4 linked regions of the Drosophila melanogaster genome follow. The protein of the gene in region 1 purifies or fractionates together with the protein of each later gene. This does not show direct contact. Each region holds a gene or a part of one and is shown on either strand. Other genes may lie near its edges.

Region 1 (4,981 bases):
TCGTAATATTTACATTTGTGAGAAAATGAAAACTTCGACTACGCGCACTTTAAACTTAAACCATTATTAAAAGCGTCTAAGGTTTTTTAATTTTTTAATTACAATTTGTTGGTTTTAAAACGCAAATAAATATTTAAATATCTTTCATATTTACCTCATCGGTGCTCAGAGTCATGCTAATGGAATCATTGACGGGCAGAATTAGCTCTTCGTGCCGCTTTCCCCCTTTAAAGGAATGCATGTGCATAAGTTTATGTGCTTATAATATATGTATTAATTTACCCACAATATTTGATGAGCGCTATGTTTACGGGCGCCACACAAGTAACCGAAAACATGTTTGAAAATGTTTTTAATTCAGAAATTCACTTGTTTTCAGCTGCTTTCCAGCGAAAGCGACAACTGTTGACTGCGGTGTGACCACCCAGTGGACTCTTCAAATATACCATGTGGCCCCAAAAAATGTAGTTGTGGGTATTCCCCAATTACCGCCCATATTGAGGTTTGAGTCACGGCTAAATCGCTATTTCCATTTATTTTTAAACCAATGAAAGTTTGTAGTGAGTAAACATTAGTGTTAATAAAAATAGAAAATACATTAGCGTTAAGCATAGAGCTGTGTTTGGTTTTTGTATTTATTAGAATTGTATTTTAAATGTGAATACTTGCAGCCGCAACCATTCCGATTTCATGTGTTTCCAAATTATTTACGTGTTTAGTTTTCTTTTGGTTGTGTGTGGCTTTGAGAGACGCGGGTTGAGTAGCATGCGGTGCATTAACTTGGTTAAATTGAATGGGTCGGATGAAATGATGGGGACTAGCCCTTGAGGCTCGTCATGCCCGCACGCATCACCTCGTCGACGAGAAGCAGGTTGCTGGCAATGATCGAACAGGAGTTGAGGATCTGCTTCTTAACGATGTAGTTGTCGTAGACGCCCAGATCCACGGGCTTCATGGGCTCCCCGGTGGCCAGATCCAGGCCGACCAGTTCGGGACTCAGGCGATCCTCAACAGTCAGCTTGACGATTGTGTCCTGGGCATCGTAGCCGCTGTTCACGGCCAGCGTCTTGGGAATGACCAGCAGGGCATCGGCAAAGGCCTGCACTGCCAGGCGGGACTTGCCCTTGATGGTGTCCTTGAAGGCGACCAGCTCGTTGTACGCGCGCACCTCGAATGCTCCAGCTCCGGGCACCAGAGCCTTATCGGCAATGGTGTTGTTGATGGCACGCAGACCGTCCCTGATGGCGTCCTTGATCTGGGTGATCGTGTGCTTGTTGGGACCCTTGATCAGGATCGTGACGGACAGCGGGTTCTTGCAGTCCTCAACGAAAGTGTACTTGTTCTCGCCCAGAACATGCTCGTACACCACACCGGCGTATCCCAAGTGCTCCTCCTGCAGATCGTCAAAGGAGTTCATTGCAGTGCCACCGCAGGCCAAAGACAGACGCTCCATGTTGCGGCGCTTGGCGCGACGCAAGGCCAGGATGCCCTCCTTGGCCAGGGCGTCCAGCGAGATGGGGTCGATGCCCTTCTGGTTGATCAGGACGAAGGTTTTGTCGGTGCCATCGCACACGGAGCGCTTCAATTCGATCACCTTCTTCACACGCTGGTCGATGAATTCGCGCTCGGCGCGCACAAAGGCCTCACGCTCCTCGGCGGTCTTGTAGAAGAAGCCAGAGTTGACCTCGGCCTTCTCGTACTCCAGCGAGACATTGGCCGTAAGGATGTAGGCATTCTCCAAACGCTTCGGCATGTCCGGGTGGCGAGCACCATGGTCCATGACTAGTCCACGCACCAGCTGTGTATCGGTATCGGATTTGTGCTGCATCTCCATCAGCTCCACCATGTGGAGGTCCACGGGCTTGGTCTTATCGGCACTGGCAATGGTCAGCACGGCATTCACGCAGACGTCCGTAAGCAGATCGGCAAGGGCGGGATGCACCTTGGTCTTCAGACTTGTGTTGGCCACCTCCACCAGGTTCTTCTTGTTGATCTCCACGGGCACCTTGACCTGGTCGAGCACCTCCAATGCCTTGTCGCGTGCCTTCTCGAATCCATCGGTCATGATGCGAGGATGCAGTCCCTCGGACAGATAGATATCGGCCTGCTTCAGGAGCTCGCCAATAAGCATCACAGTGGTGGTGGTTCCATCGCCGGTGGAATCATCCTGGGCCGTGCTGGCCCTGGCAATCATAGAGGCAGTCGGATGTTGGATCTGCATTTCGTGCAGCAGGACATTGCCATCCTTGGTGATCTTGATGTCGCCGGCGCCAGAAACCAACCTGCGAAGTTTCTAGAATTAGTATGCTTGTTTCACTTTTCACGGCGCGTGAGTCAAGTCACGCCTCTTTCGATGCCACTTTCTGAATCACCCGGTGCTGGATATGCAGGTAAACACACATTTATGAATAAATTAAAGCCTCTGGGGGCATCTTTCATTTAAGATTCTTTTTGAAATTAAATAAAAACACCTAAATTCTAAGCTTTTTGCTCCAGAGTTGCAACATTCTCTTTCTTTCTTTTGCGATGACGCATGCCGCTAGTTCCAGTCTAACCTCAAACTTGCAGTTGCCGCAGCTGTGACCAAAACGTTTGTTTTTTCGCCTATAAACTAGCATTCTCACTCAAATTGCTAATGGAACGCAAAGTGAGGGATATTAGAGGCCGGTTTTAGTAACTTACATCTTAACGGTGCCCTTGGGTCCCAAATTGGTGCGCATCACATCCTGCAGTCCCTTGGCGGCACTGATATTGATGGCCAGAGCCTGGGCGGCGCGGGCAAACTCGGCCTTGGGGTTCAGCAAGCTAATCGAAGCCATCGCGTGTCGCAATTAAACAGAGATTTTCTTAGCTCGGCAAAATAAATCAATAGGAATCGGCACAAATCCAAGCACGCTTAAAGTTAGGCGAATCGAAGAAATCAGATGGCAAGTGTGACCAGATGGGGGAAAGACAACTAGAGACTTCAAAGCAGTACAATCGATAGTATTGTAATCACTTCCAATTTGTAACACTTTTATTTATTTCTAATTAGATTTTTCGTTGTGGTGGCTTACATGCAAAATGACATTTAAAAAATGTTTCATATATATATCTTTTTTTTTATTTAAATTTATTAAACGAAATTATTTTATTGACTAGCGTACCATTACCCTTCTTGGGCAACTTAATTTAATCGGTATCAATTTAAGCGATTCTTAATATCTAAGTTATTTACAAAGATTATATGATTATGAGTATTAAAGAAGGTCTTAAGGGTGGTAATATATTTCCCGCTAGTAATGGCTATTTCCCGCTAAATCACTGCAAAATAAGCCGCACAATTTAATCGGCTCACCTGCGACCACCGATGGCGATTAGCAAATGAAATGCAACCGTGCGCCCAAACCCCAACACTAAAAAGTTTTTTTTTATTGGCCAAATCGGGATAAAATCAAGTCAAAATAAGGCACAATACTAGAGTGCGCCGACCGCAGCGTAGAGTACCAAGAGACTTAATTGAATTCTGATTGTTAACCGGACAGGACGAGGATCCGCAGGCGGCGCGATGAGTGTCCTGGCGTATCCACGTACCAACGACGAGGAGATTTTCCGTCACTGCACCAAGGACTGCGGCATGGTGACGGCCACAGATGACTTCCAGTACTTCGCCCTGCGTTGCATCTTCTGCAGCGAGAAGTTTCTCTACTTCGACTCCTTCATCGGCCACATGCAGACAGTTCACCTGGGCGACCAGTCCGTGGCGAATACCTCCTCCCGTCTCCCCTTCAATCTCGGCGAGCCCATGTCCCTGTCCGGTCGTAATGGGGATCTGCCCAACTTCCACGAGATCGAAGACTTAACGGACGCGGACACAGCGCTGCTGGAGCCCCAAATGGTCATCAAACAAGAGCTCCAGGATCTGCCCTGCAGCGATGATGATGTGGTCGCCGGCGAAGAAGACGACGATGAGCAACGGCTGAACGATTCCGAGGCCGATGAGGACGAGGCCATATTACCCGAAAGCGATGTACCGGTGGTCAGTTCCAAGACGCGGGCACGCAAAAAGGTCACAAAGCAGCGCCAGAGGGACATGTCTAGCGAGCTTCTCATCGCCGGTGACGGCGATTCATCCATGGACGACTACGGTGATCCGGATCACAGCTATATGGACGACAATTCCGGAGAGTACATGGACTTTGCTGGATTCGACGGCGTTAACCACAGTGGTTTCGGAACCGAATCGGACTTTCTCAGCTATGATGAGATGGTGGAGGAGTCCCTGCTGGGAGTAAGTTATATTTTTATACTATATACATACAGATATTTTTGTTAAAATTTTCGCCCATCGATTTAAAAGCTACATTTATTTCACCCTTAATTTTCACTAATATCCATATATACCTATTTGTAATGATTTTATCATTTTCCCACCCCTTAGCGCGACCGGGAGGTTACGATGCACATCAAGGACCGCAAGATGATCCAGTTTCTCATCCACTCGTATCAGCGCAACCCCTTTTTGTGGGACCACGGCAATGCACAGTTCCGGGATCGCGTTAAGCGCGCCCGCTTCCTCGACTGGATTGTGCTGGAGTTCAAGAGCCGGTTTAACATCTCGCTGGCCAAGGACGCCATCACCCGTAAGTGGGACAACCTGCGCACGGTATACAAGCGGGAGTGCAATCGCATGGCTCTGGAGAAGACCAACATCAGTACGCTGTGGTACTTCAAGGAGCTGCACTTCCTCAACGAGGTATACAGCTACAACGATAAGATGTCCGATGCTGTTGTTAAGGTTAGTGGCTCCCCTTTCAATTCGATCCTATGCGTCCGCTTCTCTGAATTGGGGGTGGATTGAAACGGAACCTTGTTAGCGGATTAATTAACGTAAACAGGTGGGCGACTTGAGTAGAGACTTTATTTATTTATCCAGCGACGTGATTGGGTGGCTGACTACCAAGTCCTCCGTTTACTTTAATATCGTAATTAATGTCTTGAA
Region 2 (5,723 bases), on another chromosome or scaffold:
AGATGCGGCACTAATAAAGTGTGCTGCCCCAAGTGGGAAACGTATCTGCCACACGATACTTGTGGACAATCAAGAAGAAAACCTACGAAGGGCAAAATACCGGCGCTGAATGAGTTTCCCTGGATGGCCATGCTGTTATATGGAAATAAAAACAATTTGTCCCAGAAGCTGGTACCAAAATGTGGTGGATCCCTAATAAACAACTGGTACGTCCTGACCGCAGCGCACTGCGTGGAGTATCCATTTATGGACTATCCGTATGCCCTCAAAACAGTGAGACTGGGCGAACATAACACGTCCACAAATCCCGATCGGGCTATTGTGAATGGAAGAAGACAGTACGCTCCTCTTTATATGGAAATTGAAGTGGACCAAATTATTACGCATGAACAATTCAACCGGGGAAGGCGGCTGATAAACGACATAGCACTCGTGCGTCTTAAGTTTCCTGTGCGGTGAGTAATGATTCTCCTCTGGTCGAAATAGAAGTAGGATATGAATTGAAATAATATATCTTTATATCTTCCTATAGCTATACGAGAGCCATCCAACCTATTTGCCTTCCAAGAGCCCAAAAATTGGCCGCGCATAAGCGAAAGTTTCAAGCATCCGGCTGGCCAGACATGGGACAAGGAATTGCAAGTGAGGTACTCTTGCGCAGCTTCATCGCGGAACGGCATCCAGATGTGTGCAAATCAAATTATGACTTTAATTTGGGCAGTCAGATATGTGCTGGTGGTCTGGATGGGAATGACACCAGTCCCGGCGATTCCGGGGGACCCTTAATGGAGACCGTGATACGTGGAAAGGTCACACTCACTTATGCAGCCGGCATAATCTCCTACGGACAGAAGCCCTGCGTACTTAAAACTTGCAAGCCAGCATTTTACACAAAAACTTCATACTTTTTTGAATGGATAAAATCGAAATTGCAAAGTCCATTTATCGACAGCGACAGCAAATCTCGTACTAGAAAATAAGCAATTTATTTAATTCCTACATTTTATTGCCTCAAAAACTAGTTTAACTGCATCCAGGAAAAGGTTCGGCGCGATTTTTGCGCAGTACGAACTGAATTTTTCGGTTCATGTCCTCGTTGTAAATGGCCTTGCATTTCTCGAAGTTGATGCGACGACGAACCTATACAATAGTTTAATACAGTAAATAATAATAAATAGTTAAGTTATTTAAAGTCGAACCTGATACGGCTTTTCGTAGAATCGCGTGCGGCGAAATTGGTCGAGCAGTTCTTCTTTTCCCAAGACGCGATTTAACAGACGACACGCCTCCTCCACATTATTGTTTTGCACCAGAACGGTGCGGGCCAGAAACTGCACGTGTCTCATTTCGGATAAGTAGTTTTATTTTATAAAGTTTTCCAAATGTTTATTAAATAATCGGCTTTCAAAACAGTGTGACCATTTACTGTACTGCTAAACAGCTGATGAATATCACTAACCAGGGCTAACGATTGCTAATAAGAATCGTGGACTCAGAAGGAGTACTTTGAGAACCACTCAACTTAATAAATAAGAAAAATATTTATTCAACACAGTATTTATTAATGCATTGCCAAAATTATTTCTGTAATGCCCATCACACTTAAGAAATACATATTATATCCCATCAAATTATCAAAAATTGCTAATCACCTGAAAATGACTAAAATACCAGTTTTCGGACCTTTGCGGTGCGAGGCAACCCTGATGTTGTGGTTTTTCTTGCCGTTTGCCGCTCTGGTCACACTGGTTTCCAGTTTTCTTCCTAGCGTGGCGGCCATAGTAAGCTGTTGAAAAGTATTCGACGTAAATTAAATTTGTTGTAAAAGTGAAACTTCCAGGAATCGGGCTGCGAAAGTTACTATTTGCTTTAGGCACGACACGACACGAAAAAAGGTGAGCTGGGGCGGCTCTGGGCTAATTAAGATTACCACCTGATTTTGCACATTTCGTCTCGCATTGTGCGGTTTGCCAATGTGTGTGTCTACTTGGTAGACACTTCCTTTGCGCTTGGTTTTCTCATCTCTGTCGTTAAGTAATCATCGATAATTGTTTTTTGTCAGAGAATTTGCCTTCGATTTTTGGCATTAGATTTGCAAAATCGATGGCCATCTAGCTTTTTTTCTCTTCTTTGTTCAATCGAATTCTTCTGACGCAGCGTCTTGCGCGGCACATGTTGGTACGCATACAAGCGCAAAGTCTGGTGCATGTGTGTGCTAGGCACTGGTGAAAATATAATAATTGTATCTATTGATTTGCCTGCTAAATCGAAGGCTGCTTCTAGAATTCATTTCCATTCTTATTTTCGACTCTGCCCTTTCTCCTTTCATTTGTTCCCCTTTTCGTTCTTTTACGGTTTTTTCATTATTACCCTCTCCGCTTTGCAGTCGCCGTTCGCAAAACCAGGGCTGCAATGCGCTGACGAAAACTTCTAGAAACTGTGTGTATGTGTGCGTGCGAAAGAGAAGCGGTTGTTGTCGAAAGGGGGAAAGAGAGCGTCAGCTGCTCGCCGTATTGAAATACGACAATTGTTCTAGAAAATCGACTAGAAAACGTCGCAGTTATTTTCGCGAACACATGGCGGCGTAACGACCTTGAATCCCGGGCTCTAGCTTCCGGCAATGCCTACTATTTTCCGTTGCCCCCCAAATTACACGGAAAAAAATGGGTGATGGCATCAAGTCACAGCTGTAGAAATCAATAAACAAGAAAGGGTCATATGATCGAGTGGTTTCTGGATTTTGAAAAATGTATTTCTACAAAAAAAAATGGGTAACAAAATATAGGTTACTGATTTTTGTTTACAATACTAGTTAGAGAGGAATCAGCCCTTTGAACTATGAAATGTCATTAGATATAAAACTGACAATAACTTCCATCGGGAACCTAGCTGCCATAGAAACAGCACCACAAAATAAATTTTTTTTTTTCATTTTTTATAAGAACTGGCATCCAAATCGGTTGAAACTTCAAAAATTTTCGGTATTACACAACTTCATAATTTCTACCTATATATGCCTGGAGCATACACAAATCTGTTCCCCAATCTGTTATTTACAAGCTCCCAGATAGTAATTACGCACTACTTCGTCTGTTCACAGTAAACAGCAAACAAAATGGTTAAGGAGACTGGATATTATGATATACTTGGCGTGAAGCCTAATGCCACGCCCGACGAGCTGAAGAAGGCTTACCGCAAGCTGGCCCTCAAGTACCATCCGGACAAGAACCCCAACGAGGGCGAGAAATTCAAGGCCATTTCGCAGGCTTACGAAGTGCTGTCCGATGCGGACAAGCGACAGGTGTACGACGAAGGCGGCGAGGCGGCCATCAAGAAGGGCGGCGCAGATTCCGGTGACTTCCGCAATCCTATGGACTTCTTTGAGAAGTTCTTTGGCGCTGGATTCGGAGGTAGTGGCGGTGGACGCAGGCGCGAGAGGCGTGGCAAGGACGTGGTGCACCAGATGTCCGTACAGCTGGAGGAGCTGTACAATGGAGCGACCCGCAAGCTGCAGCTCCAGAAGAATGTGATCTGCGACAAGTGCGAGGGTCGCGGCGGCAAGAAGGGCAGCATTGAGAAGTGCTTGCAGTGCCGTGGTAACGGTGTGGAGACACGGGTTCAGCAGATCGCCCCCGGCATCATGCAGCACATCGAGCAGGTGTGCCGCAAGTGTTCGGGAACTGGCGAGACCATTCAGGAGAAGGACCGCTGCAAGAACTGCAGTGGCCGCAAAACGGTGCGGGAACGCAAGGTATTGGAAGTGCACATTGAGAAGGGAATGCGGGATGGCCAGAAGATCGTGTTCACGGGAGAGGGCGATCATGAGCCGGAATCTCAGCCGGGCGATATTATTATTCTTTTGGACGAGAAGGAGCACTCCACATTCGCGCACGCCGGACAGGATTTAATGATGAAGATGCCGTTGCAACTTGTCGAAGCGCTCTGCGGATTCCAGCGAATCGTTAAAACGCTCGATGATCGCGATCTGATTGTGTCCACACAGCCCGGCGAGGTTATCAGGCATGAGATGACCAAGTGTATTGCCGAGGAGGGTATGCCCATTTTCAAGAACCCCATGGAGAAGGGCACGTTGATCATCCAGTTCGAGGTGATCTTCCCGGAGGTGATCAATCCGTCGGTGGTGCCCACGCTTAAACAGTGCCTACCCCCGGCGCCGGAGGTTGACATTCCAATCGATGCAGAGCAGACGGTTTTGGTGAGTATTTCAGTAGTAGTTTATATCACGATATATAAATAATATATTATTTATAATTAATTTATTTATCGATTTGCTTATCTTTCGCAGGAGGACTTTGATCCCAAGCAACGTCGCCAGCAACACCAGCGCATGGCCTACGATGAGGACGATGGCGGCTATCAGGATGGCCCACGCGTCCAGCAGTGCACATCGAGTTAAGCGCCCCCGCTGCGTGTTGCATCCCCGGACACACAGCCCTAATAATACCCCAACCAACAAGCCGTAATAATATGTAAACCAGCTCCCGGAACACTGTAATTGCGCTTGCAAGTGCCGAAGAACTCCCAAAAGCACCTTAAAACACCATCCAATTCACACTAGGAGGCCCAACCAATCGAGAGATCTAAAGTTATTTCATGCAAGCTACGATATTTAGGTATAAATCAAAGAAACTTATCAGATATATGCACTATGTCTATAACGCGTGGTTGTTTGTAAACCAACATTTTTCTTTATGTTTATGTTGCGTTGGATTGTCAAAGAATCGAAAACGGAAACTGAAACTAAACTAAACTGAAATTGAAATTAGCCGCCACTAGAACCGTATCTAAAGTCCGCGCCAGCGAACACGTCTAGGAACAAGTTTAAGTTATTTAATTCCAGCATAAATAAAAGCGTTAGTTTAAACGGATATAACAAATAAATAATTAATACACAATTTCAACCCAAATGCTGTATATTCTTCTTCCCATAGTTCCAGTATCACTTGCCTTCCTCCGGCTATCTATTGATTCCATAATCGCTGCATAGTCACCCGCAGGTGTGAATCATTCGAATAATGCCAATTGGAGATATCAGGCATATGGCAGTAGTTTCGTCTTGAGTACATTATTTAAAATGCTATCTGGGATAAGTAAAAGATAAAAAGAAAGATAAGGATAGTTTGGGATATATATGGTAATGCCATTAAATCGTTAAGGATATAATGAGGGATTTTGTAGTTGTTGAGGATTATAAAGCATCCTATAAATGAATCTGCGGACCTGCCTGTCGCAAGGAATAACATCAAAAGCAAATTCAAAATGTAAAATGTTTTGTAAATTTATTTACAAAATTTCAAAATGAACTACAACATAATCTGGTGGAAACTAGTGCGCAAAGTTTCGGAGAGCGGCCACAACTCCAGTTCCATAGATGAGCTTCTCCTCCACACGCTGCCAAGCCTCCTGCTGCACCTGGGACACAGTGCGCAGCTCCTTTACCAAATCCGGGAACTCCGTCAACCCGAGACCGTGGGATCGCAAGAAGACGCTTAGATACGATTGAGCCAGCTCAAAGTTCAGATTGGTTCCAAACATGAACTTAACGAGTTTGAGGAACTGCAGCATGGCAAGGAGTGTTCCTCCAGCCTCCGGGTGCAGAGATTTGATCTCAAAGTCAACCATCGATGGTCCTAGTTGGGTCAAGTGCGCCACAGCCGATGCGAAGTCCAGGGAGTCAGCAGTTTCCTCCAGCAGCTGGCCAA
Region 3 (5,476 bases), on another chromosome or scaffold:
GGGCGTGACCTCCACATAAGTGGTGCTCGGAGCAGGGTCTCCACAGACTACAGCAGTATTTAAGCGGCATTTAAACTATCCCCTCCACCGCCCCTCTGGGCTACGGATCTCTTTGCCTCCTGCAACCTATGCGAATACTTAGAACTACCATATTATACATATTAATTCATTACGTATGCATATCGCACACACATGTAGCCAGACGTAAATGTAGCACCTAGTAATGCTTCTTGTTGAATTCGATTTCTTTGCCTCTCCATCACTTGTTGAACGAATCGCCAAGCTCCTAAGTGTAAAACAGATTGCCAAATACCGATACAAACAAACACTCCCAGAAACAACAGGCTCGAATATAAACAATTTTGTACTTTTATACGTGCAGACCATTCCAAAACCAAACAGAAGCAGCAGCCGAACGCAGAGTTGTTGAAAGAAACATACATTCATAGTACATACTTGTGATAAATGACTTTAACTGTGCAGATATGTGCGAAGAAGGCGCATCACTTAAGTTTAAAATTGAGTTTTTAATGTTATATTGCATTTGAATAAATGTTTGCTAAATAAATGTGCGAGTTAGACGTCTTCTTGTAACTTTGGTCAGCTTAATGTGATTATGCCATTTTTGATTAAGATCTGACAAATGGTTGATGCAGTTGTGTGTTTATTTTACCTAATGCCAAGTGTAATCTCCCAGTGCCACCTTGTCGGTGACCTTAATTACGTGATTGCGCCAATTGGCACGCGTCAATGATGCCAGCGGTCACCAAACGCGTAAATGACGGTCACAAAATTACATGACAACAGCGAAAAGCCTTTTTAATTACAAAGTACTTTGGATTACATACGCACACTTGCACACATCGAAGTGAGCGAATACTACACGAAATTTGGAAAGAAATATACACAACTAGAGGCAAATAGAAATTGCTACCTGAGCCATTATCAGGCGTAGTAACTCAGGAACTTGCGGAGCGGCAGGAACGTGGCGATATACAGCTCTACTTGTTGGCATACCCGTTTGGGTTCTGGCTCTGCCAGCGCCACGTGTCCTCGCACATCTTGTCGATGCCACGCTCGGCCTTCCAGCCCAGCTTCTTATCCGCCAACGTGGCGTCCGCATAGCAAGTGGCCACATCTCCGGACCGTCGGTCCACCAGAGTGTAGTTGACCTTCTTGCCGGAGGCCTTCTCAAACGCCTTCACCATGTCCAGCACCGAGTAGCCCACGCCGGTGCCCAAATTGTAGGCGAAAAAGCCCGTCTCCGCGATGTTGCGCAGCTTGTCCAACGCCTTTACGTGTCCCTCGGCCAGGTCCACGATGTGGATGTAATCGCGCACGCCGGTGCCGTCGTGCGTGGGAAAGTCGCTGCCGTAGACACTCAGGCTGGGACGTCGACCCACGGCCACCTGTGCGATGTAGGGCATCAGGTTGTTGGGCTCGCCGTTCGGATCCTCGCCAATCCGACCACTGATGTGGGCACCCACCGGGTTGAAGTACCGCAGCGAAACCACTGCCCAACGCTGAAAGAGCGAATTCTTTAGTACAGAACTTATGGACATCAAGAAATGACATCCTCCTACCTTGTCAGACTTGCACAGATCCTTGAGAATCTCCTCGGTGAAATATTTAGTCTTGCCGTAGGGCGATGTACAGTTGCCCGTGGGATGCTCCTCGGTCACGGGCAGGAACTTTGGCTCACCGTATACGGTGGCGCTGGAGCTGTACACGAACTTGAAGACATTGTTGTCGGCCATCGCCTCCAGCAGGACATTGGTGCCGGTCATGTTGTTGTGGTAGTACTGCAAAGGTATGCGGCAGGACTCACCCACGGCCTTCAGGGCGGCAAAGTGGGCCACCATGTCGATTTTGTGCTGAAAGGGATGTAAATATATGTACCTATTAGTTTGGGAAATCCAAATCTGTAATAACCAGCTCTTCAGTAAGCACAAGGATATTGCCTCTTATAAACGTAAAGTGCAGAATTTAATAGCAATTAAATGAAAGTATCACATTGATTTCAAGGTGATTTATTGACAAACAATTATGTGTTCTTTAAATAGCTGTTGATAGTGCTGATTAGGTAAAAAATTCCACCACAACAAATACTGCTCAATCTATTCAGTAATCAGTGCGCGTAAGCACAAAGCTGTGTGCATTTATGGTTGAATAAAAATATGAAAAAGTATCAGCTTAAGATATTTCATGGCTATTTGGGCAACAACGTGCATTTTTATAATGTTCATTACATGTAAATAAACGCTTTGTTTTTTATAAACGACGGTGGTTAACAAAAAAAACCCCTTTGATCGAACATCTCAAGAATGCGTGATAACCTGCTCGAATTAGCGAATTCTCTTGGTTATCAATGGATGTAAACACTGCAATCTGGGCTCCCGACCACCCAGATTGTAGTGTACGTGCCCGGGAGCTGTTGTGGATGTGGATGCCAGCGCACCAACTCGAATGCGACCTCGCCAAGTGGGTCTTTCATTCAGGGTCGATCAGCACGGCGGTTCGTCGGAAGTGCCCCGCCACTTGAGCAAACAACAAAACAAGCGCGAACGAGAAAAAAGCTGATAGCGCGCATGCCAGATAAGCTTGATTGAATGGTATCCAGTTGGCACATTTGCCCCAGAACCTCCGAACTGCTGACGTGCCAGCTATGTAATGCTACGTGTGCTCACCTCCTGGAAGACGGAGCGCACCTGCTCCCTGTCCGTGATGTCCACTCTATAGAAGTTGACCTTCTTGCCGGTGATTTCCTGCACCCGGCTGAGGGCCTCCGGCAGTTTGGCCCCGCTGCTGTAGGCGTTGCACAGGTTGTCCACGCAGATGACGTTGTAGCCCGCATTGAGCATCTCCAGAACCGTGTGGGAGCCAATGTAGCCGGCTCCTCCGGTGACCAGGACCGTGGGTGGGGCCATCCTAAGTGGCGAAAGGGGAAAACACACGAAATTAGGCCACACGAGTGCCCAGTTCTTATTGACGTCACCAAAATCGTTCGGCAGGCGTGCGAAATAGCCGTCTGCTTGGCGAAAAACGGGTAACTCACCTGTTTACAGGTGATTATGGTAGAGAATCCCCGCTCAGTGAATCAGATTGAGTTTAGCTAGACGCAAGAGACGTGCCCTTGAAACGATTCCGCCTCGGATTCCGATGCCTAAAAACAACGCCTCTGATCTCCGACGAGATTGCAGATGATGGTGTAGATGAAGATGCCAAAGATCGCTGACCGTTGAGTGCTATCGTGTGCTAACCCGTTTCTTGCACTCTTCCTCATTCATCTGTGTTGTCGTACGTCTGTTTTGATCTGCGGTCGCTGGCCAACTGAACTGGTGGCTCTCCACGGAGCCTATTTAACTTGTTCTCCGTTCTCCGAACGCGCACTTCTTATCAGTTTCGGTGGTTTGGTGGGCTCGGAGCTCTCCTGTCACTTTAATTCAAGTGCTAGCAGCAGGCTGACTTGGTCGACGGACGGCCGGGGTCACCTCGAAGTGCATCCTTATCGCCGCTGACCTTTGGCTCCCGATTCCATGCCCATTAATGCAATTTCCAGGTGCTCTTCACTTCGCTCTCCGAATAAAAGTAAACAAAGTGGTAGCGTTGCCACGCGACATGGCTCGTTCGACGCTGCCATATTCGCCGATTTTTCAGCTACCTGGCACAGTGGGATTCGTCTCGATAAATTTCTTGGCTGTCTATCGATATGAACAACTTAAAACAAGAAGTGCGCCCATATCGGTGTTTAAATGTGAAAACATTCTGGAGACGCGAATAGGGGTGGTAAAAAAATAGTTTTCATTATAAAGCGTATAAAATCACAAATCGTAATTAATTAAACATATGATAAGAGAATAACGCCAAATTCATAATGCAATGTAATTTTGTAACGCATTCTATCCCCAAGATAATAATCTTATATGATCTGGCATCACTGCCATGTGCTTCTGTAAAATTTACATGTAGATAAGTTGACATTTTACTTGACTGATAAACGGAGCAGATTCAAAATTAATTTTAAACTCGAAAAGCAAACGTTTGATAACAACAAACTTCAGTACAATGCGTACAACTACATCGTCATAAATAACTAGAACCGCAGTTCGGACAGCTTTTTGGTGACCCAAATTCGGTTCAAATCTTTAATGATAAGCGGAAGTGCATGTGCTCAATACGCAATGAAAAAGATCTCACAATGTTTACAACTTAATTGAGAATGTATTTGCGCAGCGACGAGTCTCTCAATGAAATGCGCCTGCTTTCGGTTCTGAATGAATGGAATGCATGAATGGGTCGAAAGCTTCGGAGCTTTAACCTAGATTGGCATTTGACCGGCTTTATCTTATGGTTTTTGGAGTGTCGATAATCGTTATTTGTTTGAATAGTTCTATCTCAGTCAATAAATCGTTTTTCTGATTATGGTTTCCGAATTCCATTTCAATTTATCGCTAAAAAAAATTGCGGCATAAGAGTCCCAAAATTAGAACAAACCGTAAAATACTGCTTCGGCATAATAATCTACATAATCATCTGGAAACGAATCGATTCTCGAATGCGGGAAAGCTCACTCGATAAGGAAGACGCAGTACATACATATACCGCAAGACCATGCTTACCGCACACCGCATGTACTACATACATACGTACATCTACATATATTTTGAGATTCTCGGGCGGCACACATATGTACATACTGACAACCGGAAATGAGTTAGTTGAACTTCCGGCATTGCTCGCCTCTGAATGGCGCTGGCCTGCAATATTTTTTTATGTGAGCGACAATAATTTGCACAGTCAGAGTCGCAGCCACAGAAACTGAACTGAAACAGAATTGGAAAGAGAAAGACAGAACGGACAAGTCTCCAAGTGGAAGTGGTCGATCCTAAAGCTACGTATTTGTACATAATGTGCTGCGGTCTAGTCTACATACATAAATATATATATATATATATGTATAGAAGCGAGCTCCCAATCCAATCCCGCCTGCACATATGGGGGAATTATCAGTTCGGTCCGAGAGTTGGATTGCTGTTATTGCTGGGGCTAAGGTTTTCGGGGGGTCTGGCCCGGCCCGTTAGCTATGTCCGTCTTCTTGTTTACTTACTGTACTTATATGTTTATTAGTATGTGATCTTTTATTTCAAACACTTTCCACTCCACGAATAGAATGCCAAACGAATAGAATTTCCTTGCTTACACTTATTGTAAATTTCGGTTATCCATCTTAATAAAACCAATTTTCCGCATTATTGTTTGTGCCCGATAATCATCTATGTATGTTCTGCGTTCCCTCAAAAGAGACCACCCCAGATAAGCACCGACTCTGGCACTTTAATTTGATCTCGGATCGGCAATGGGAAAATGAAGTAGGGAAATAGTGAAAGTGGTGCACTTTTCACATGGCCCAACGGAGACCGACTTGGAAACTGGGATCGCCCGGGCCACCATAAATGCTTATCACAAATTAAGCAAT
Region 4 (5,497 bases), 7.8 Mb from region 1:
TGGAACCCGAGCCGATGTGATGGAGTGAGGAGTATATAATCGCCAGTATCCAAAACAGCCTCGATCTCATCACTGCAGCGGAGTGTCTTCATATGCCGACTTACGGGATACGGTAACAGGATGCGGGATGATGCATCGACTGGCGCCACTCGCCGCAGGATATGCACATATGAACGAACGCCCCTCTAAACTGTTCTATATCGATCCAAGTCCAACTGCATCAGCGTCCCACTGCATCGCCAGCGATGATTCCACGGACTTCACTTCGCTTCGCTTATCGATTGCCCTGCGGCAAAATATTGCTGGACATATTGCACTCAAGTATCTTCTTTTTCAGAGTGTCCTTTTCGATTATATATGTATATTTACTTTTTCTTTTTCTCTTTTTTGTTGATTTCTTTGCACACTTTTCAGCGCGCGGATGGAGGCTGGAGGGATAGGAATGTCGGACAATTGGAAAATCGGAAAAGCGCTTATTAACCAGCTCGTGTTGCGTGTGTATTTATCCTTTTGCAACTGCTGCTCGGATGGCCAATAAACGGGAATGTAGGTCAGGGCATGCTCTGCGCATGGCCAGCATCCGCATCCCTATTATTTCATCCGAAGGAATCCCTCTACCCGAGCAACAACAACAAATAGCAGACGCCACTCACCTCTCAAGCTCAAAATAATGCAATCTTCAAGATTGTTTTAAAAAGAAAAAGACTTTTCTTTTCTTCTTTTGTTTGCATTTGTCCAGGAAAAAAGCTCTTTTCGGCGGATGGTTCTGATAAATATTTAACAATATAAAAGTTGCTTTTGCCGGTCCTTCGGCGTTGTTGTTCCCTCACCCACACTTGCTTCGGCACTGAATCCGCTCCGAAAGGCCAGCATCTCTCTCGGCATTCTTGCAATCCAGGGATTTCTACCCACCAAACAAGGTCCTTTGAATCCGTATAGCTCGGCATGCAAATAAATCGGGCGATTGAGCTCAGAAATACCTGTATTTTACTAATTGTTAAGAGCCTAGAGTAAAAATACAGATAAACTACCATTCTTTTACTGTCAAATTAAGCTTCAAATTCGAAATTCGATAAGTAACCGATATTTATCGATAGGCAAAGGATTACCCTCGCACATACGCGATCCGCTATAGCCATCTCGCTCCATCAATAATTTACCGTTAATATAGCGGGCTTTACTCAGAAACATCAAAAATATTTAACGACTTTAATTGTAGCATTCGCTGCGTTAAATTGTTTATCGCACTTTCTGCTTCCTGCGCATGTGCAGGAAATTAGTCAGACTATTTCGGTGATTGCCCCATTCTGGCGTGTATTGGTGAGAGCATAGAACTTACACTGCCCTCCTATGATATACATATGCATGCTTTTTTCGCTTTTAAATAAACTAATTAATAGACTAGTAAAAGAAGGATATACGGTAATGAACCTGTGAACCCTTAGGCGGAAAACTATTGCTGAATTTACATTTCATCCCTCTTTTAAAATCAGCTAGTGCAACATAACGGTTCTTGGTGTGATAAATTTTTGCGCTCACTGTTTGCAGCCGCCCTTATCTTTCGCTTTTTGGTGGTGTGCGTGAGCGCTATGAAATGACATAAGTGGGCACACAACACAGACACACACCCCTCTGAGGGGGGCACATGGATACGAAAAAGAACCGTTCATTTGCTTTTGTGCCGTTGACAATTGACATTCAATCGCTTTTTCCATTTGTTTTTATTTTCCCCCTTCTACCCTAAGTTTCTCCTTTCAAAGAAAACGCATTTGGAATACAAATCAGGCAAAAAACACGCGTACATAAATCGAGTAATCGAAAATCAGTGGCGATTTCGAAGGGTGTGTGTGTGTGTAGAATTACTACAACACACCACAAATACAGTTCGAAAAGGCAGCGCAGTCGGCAGAGGCGAAAAAAAAGCAGCGGCGTCAGCATTTCCATTTCGGCATTGCAGCTCGAAAATCGTAGAATCAGAAACTAATCAGCCGGCAGAGGCTATAGCAGTCGACCGATCGCAATCGCACCATATAGTACATACAATAGGTACCATTGCCTAGGAGTACCAGGAACCAGGAACCACTAATCTCCATCATCAACATCATGGAGGAGAACAACTCGCAAGTGCTGAGCCTGCTGGGCGGTCTGGCCATCGGAATCGTGGGCTTCCAGGTCTTCCGGAAGGTCCTGCCCTGGATTTACGCCAATGTTGTTGGCCCCAAGGTCTTTGGCTCCTCGGTGGATCTCTCCAAAATGGGCGAGTGGGCAGGTGAGTCGGTTGCCATGGAAAAACATGCCGGAAAGGAGCGGAAACGGGGTCGATTCCGAGTGCACAGTGAAAAAATGAATAGCAAGTTTGCTAAAGAAGTGTAGTTAAAAAGATTAAAGACCCTTTTACAATTAAATTGTGAAGAAAGGGAATTTCCAAATTGCAAACACTCTACTTTCAAGTTTTCCAATTTTGCATTAACTGCCTAAAGGAATACACTATATATCTTTCCAAAATGGAGTTCAGTACTTTTTTCACTGTGACCGATAAGATCGTTCCCCACGCCCCATAAATCCACTGATAACCCACAGAACTATTGGCTAACTTTTTCGACTTTCAGTTGTCACCGGGTCGACCGATGGAATTGGCAAGGCCTACGCCAAGGAGGTATGTACACAAAGATGACATGGAAGGGCTGCCCCAATCTTGACCAGCGCAAGCAAAGTCCGTCCAAGCTCGACCGATGATTATAGTAAAATGGGAAACGGGTCAAGCAAACAAACAAACAAAAAACGATAGTAATAATGAGCAATTAGTAATTACTAATTACCGAATTGAGTGTCGCCCACGATGACTTGGACATTGGTTTAGCGGTCGCCAATGCATTAGCCAAGTGAATCTGCACTTTGAAATCGATCTTCAGTCAACAGTCCAGTCGCAAACAGTCCCTAATAGTGTTTGCTTGACTGCAAATCGCTACATTTGTACTTTTCGTTATTTATTTTTACAAAGTGCAATCGCAGTTGATTTTTCTACCTTTTGTGGTAATTTTTTTTTTTTTTTGCCAGTTTTATTTTGTAATACACAGACTTGGAGCAAACGAAGCTAGAAGCTATAGGGAACACGTGTCCCCTGAATGGCAATTACTTTATAGAGTGGAGCACAGGGCCCCGATCGAAGCTTGTGCCAAATTAGCATTCGGCGTGCGTCGAACGCACAGAAAATGGTTCAATGTTCACACCCAATTTCTATTCATATACACGCTTAGTACACTTAAATGACTTCCTGTTCTTAAAATCTACGGGTTACTCGTCTTTGAAACTCCTGCTTTAGGTAGAAACGTTCAGTGTTCCCATTCCAAAGCACCATTGCTTTTTATCTCTGACCTAAGAATTTACTATCCAAAAGTACGTAAATATGAGCAGGCTAATAAATATTTAATCACTTTCAGTTGGCTCGCAGGGGCTTGAAACTGGTGCTGATTAGTAGATCCCTGGAGAAACTGAATGTGGTGGCCAAGGAGATAGGTAAGTCTGCTCACTAAAATACAGTTAACAACTTCAACTAACAACTGCTCTTTGCGGTCTACTTTCAGGCGATAAATACGGTGTGGAGGTGCGTGTGATCGATGTGGACTTCACCGGCGGTGACGAGATCTACGATAAGATCCGCGAAAAGACCACTGGCCTCAATGTCGGAGTGCTGGTCAACAACGTGGGCATCAGCTACGGCCATCCCGAGTACTTTCTGGACTGCTACAAAGCCGATCCCCCATTCCTGCGCAACATTGTGGCTGCCAATATCCACTCGGTGACGCACATGACCGCACTTTTTCTACCCGGCATGATTAGCCAGCGACGTGGTGTGATCATAAATGTATCGTCCACCGCCGGAGTCATTCCTAATCCGCTGCTGAGCGTGTACAGTTCCACCAAGGTGAGTGGATATCATCAGAAGTGATAGAAGGCTAATTACTAATACCTATAATTTGCAGGCCTTTGTGAACAAATTCAGTGATGACCTGCAGACGGAGTACAAGGAGCACGGCATCCTCATCCAGAGCGTCCAGCCGGGCTTTGTGGCCACAAATATGTCTAAGATCCGAAAGGCTAGCGTGTTTGCTCCCTCGCCGGAAACGTATGTCCGCTCGGCGCTGTCCACCCTGGGCATTGCCACCCAGACGGCGGGCTATCTGCCGCATGCTCTACTCCAGCTGGTCATCCACTTCACGGAGGCGGTGTTCGGCGAACAGTTCGCACGCAACATCGTTATGAAGAACATCCTGGGCACCCGGAAACGTGCCCTGCGCCGCCTGGCCAAGGAACAGTAGATTATTGAGGATGAATACGGCGGAGGAGGCATTTAATGGGAATCGGTTGGGATGATGAGTGGGTCAGTTGGGTTGTGGGGAAAATCCGGCTAGTCAAATAGCTTACGTAATTACCGCGTGTCATACGAATCCACAAACAGATAGCTTGAAATACCAAAAAAAAAAACATTTTTCCGAAATAAACTAAGTTTAGTTAGTTTTTGTCATTAATTAGCATTGAAGATTCGCAAACAGCCATGTCATGTAAACAATAAAAAATGTGTTACTAGATATATGTATATATCTAGTTTCCAATGATAAATAACGCCTTTTATTTGCAGTCCTTTATTTTGTATTTAACTTCTTATTTGTTCTTGCTAGCGATTTTTCTTTTTCCCTATGATTTTTCATGTTTTTCGGATCCAATTTGAATTTGAATTGGATGTGTCGATAACGGCAATAGCTATCGATTGGTCATCGATAGGCGCGCCCTTCGGCTAATCGGCGAGATGGGAATGACAGAAAGAGATACAACACTTCGCGCAGGGCGAAGAAGCAAAGCAAAGGGCAAAATTCATAAACATAACAGTAAAGATAGTGTATAGCCGGGCGTGAAATGTAATGAATCGGATTCATGACGTGACGTGTTATCAGGGCCAGCCCAATCCCAACTGCGCAGCAGCAGCGACAGCAACAACAATAACAACAACACATCAAGCTGAATCGAAGGAGCGTGTAATCAGTAATCAGAGTCGCTTGTTTTGATTTCCTTTCCTCGGAAACGAATCAACACGAAACGAGACGAGACGATTCGAAACGAAATGAAATCAAAACTCCGCTCCGGATAAAGCTGGTCAAACCAATCAACTTGTTGCGGATCCGCAGCGTCGCCCAGTATTGATTTGGCGCATATTGCCGACAGTTGTGGTTCCGATTTCGATTCCCAGCCAGCTGTCTCTCTGCCCATATATTTCAATATACGACGGACGCTTCTCCAAAAGCCGATACAATACTGTGCGATACCATATTTGTATTCGTTTCTCATTCGTTGACGGGCGAGGCGGTGGAGGCGGCGGTGGAGGTTAAGAAGAAGAAGGAGAGGTCGTCGACAACGGAGCAGTAGAAGAAGGAGGAGGTGGTGGACACCAGACCAAAGCGGAATTGACGCAATTGTTGAGAACTATTTTTAATGGTCAGCG

Evidence for each region.
Region 2: the proteins of CCT6 (region 1) and Droj2 purify together in Drosophila melanogaster (affinity purification with mass spectrometry, with the first as the bait; one large-scale study listed by BioGRID). This does not show direct contact.
Region 3: the proteins of CCT6 (region 1) and Gale purify together in Drosophila melanogaster (affinity purification with mass spectrometry, with the first as the bait; one large-scale study listed by BioGRID). This does not show direct contact.
Region 4: the proteins of CCT6 (region 1) and spidey purify together in Drosophila melanogaster (affinity purification with mass spectrometry, with the first as the bait; one large-scale study listed by BioGRID). This does not show direct contact.

What each region holds. Positions count from the first base shown.
Region 1 is NC_004354.4:15,744,609-15,749,589, reverse strand, and holds CCT6 (chaperonin containing TCP1 subunit 6), read right to left. Parts: upstream 2,943-4,981; 5' UTR 2,820-2,942; coding exon 2,683-2,819; intron 2,283-2,682; coding exon 818-2,282; 3' UTR 619-817; downstream 1-618. Other genes in the region: Mvd (mevalonate diphosphate decarboxylase), read right to left, coding at 155-225, 287-338; CG8944 (uncharacterized protein), read left to right, coding at 3,548-4,270, 4,421-4,777.
Region 2 is NT_033777.3:13,380,364-13,386,086, forward strand, and holds Droj2 (DnaJ-like-2), read left to right. Parts: upstream 1-1,742; 5' UTR 1,743-1,781; exon of another isoform or gene 1,782-1,840; 5' UTR 1,841-1,895; intron 1,896-2,458; exon of another isoform or gene 2,459-2,749; intron 2,750-2,901; exon of another isoform or gene 2,902-3,100; 5' UTR 3,101-3,115; coding exon 3,116-4,216; intron 4,217-4,306; coding exon 4,307-4,417; 3' UTR 4,418-4,920; downstream 4,921-5,723. Other genes in the region: CG8870 (uncharacterized protein), read left to right, coding at 1-455, 533-980; mRpS21 (mitochondrial ribosomal protein S21), read right to left, coding at 1,024-1,140, 1,200-1,346; CG9799 (uncharacterized protein), read right to left, coding at 5,347-5,723.
Region 3 is NT_037436.4:646,631-652,106, reverse strand, and holds Gale (UDP-galactose 4'-epimerase), read right to left. Parts: upstream 3,553-5,476; 5' UTR 3,056-3,552; intron 2,929-3,055; 5' UTR 2,928-2,928; coding exon 2,688-2,927; intron 1,875-2,687; coding exon 1,584-1,874; intron 1,524-1,583; coding exon 1,002-1,523; 3' UTR 796-1,001; downstream 1-795. Other genes in the region: CG3402 (uncharacterized protein), read left to right, coding at 1-19. UniProt on the Drosophila melanogaster protein: Catalyzes two distinct but analogous reactions: the reversible epimerization of UDP-glucose to UDP-galactose and the reversible epimerization of UDP-N-acetylglucosamine to UDP-N-acetylgalactosamine.
Region 4 is NC_004354.4:7,907,269-7,912,765, forward strand, and holds spidey (spidey), read left to right. Parts: upstream 1-1,662; 5' UTR 1,663-2,103; coding exon 2,104-2,269; intron 2,270-2,609; coding exon 2,610-2,656; intron 2,657-3,440; coding exon 3,441-3,516; intron 3,517-3,584; coding exon 3,585-3,925; intron 3,926-3,983; coding exon 3,984-4,319; 3' UTR 4,320-4,617; downstream 4,618-5,497. Other genes in the region: dpr14 (defective proboscis extension response 14), read right to left, coding at 1-70.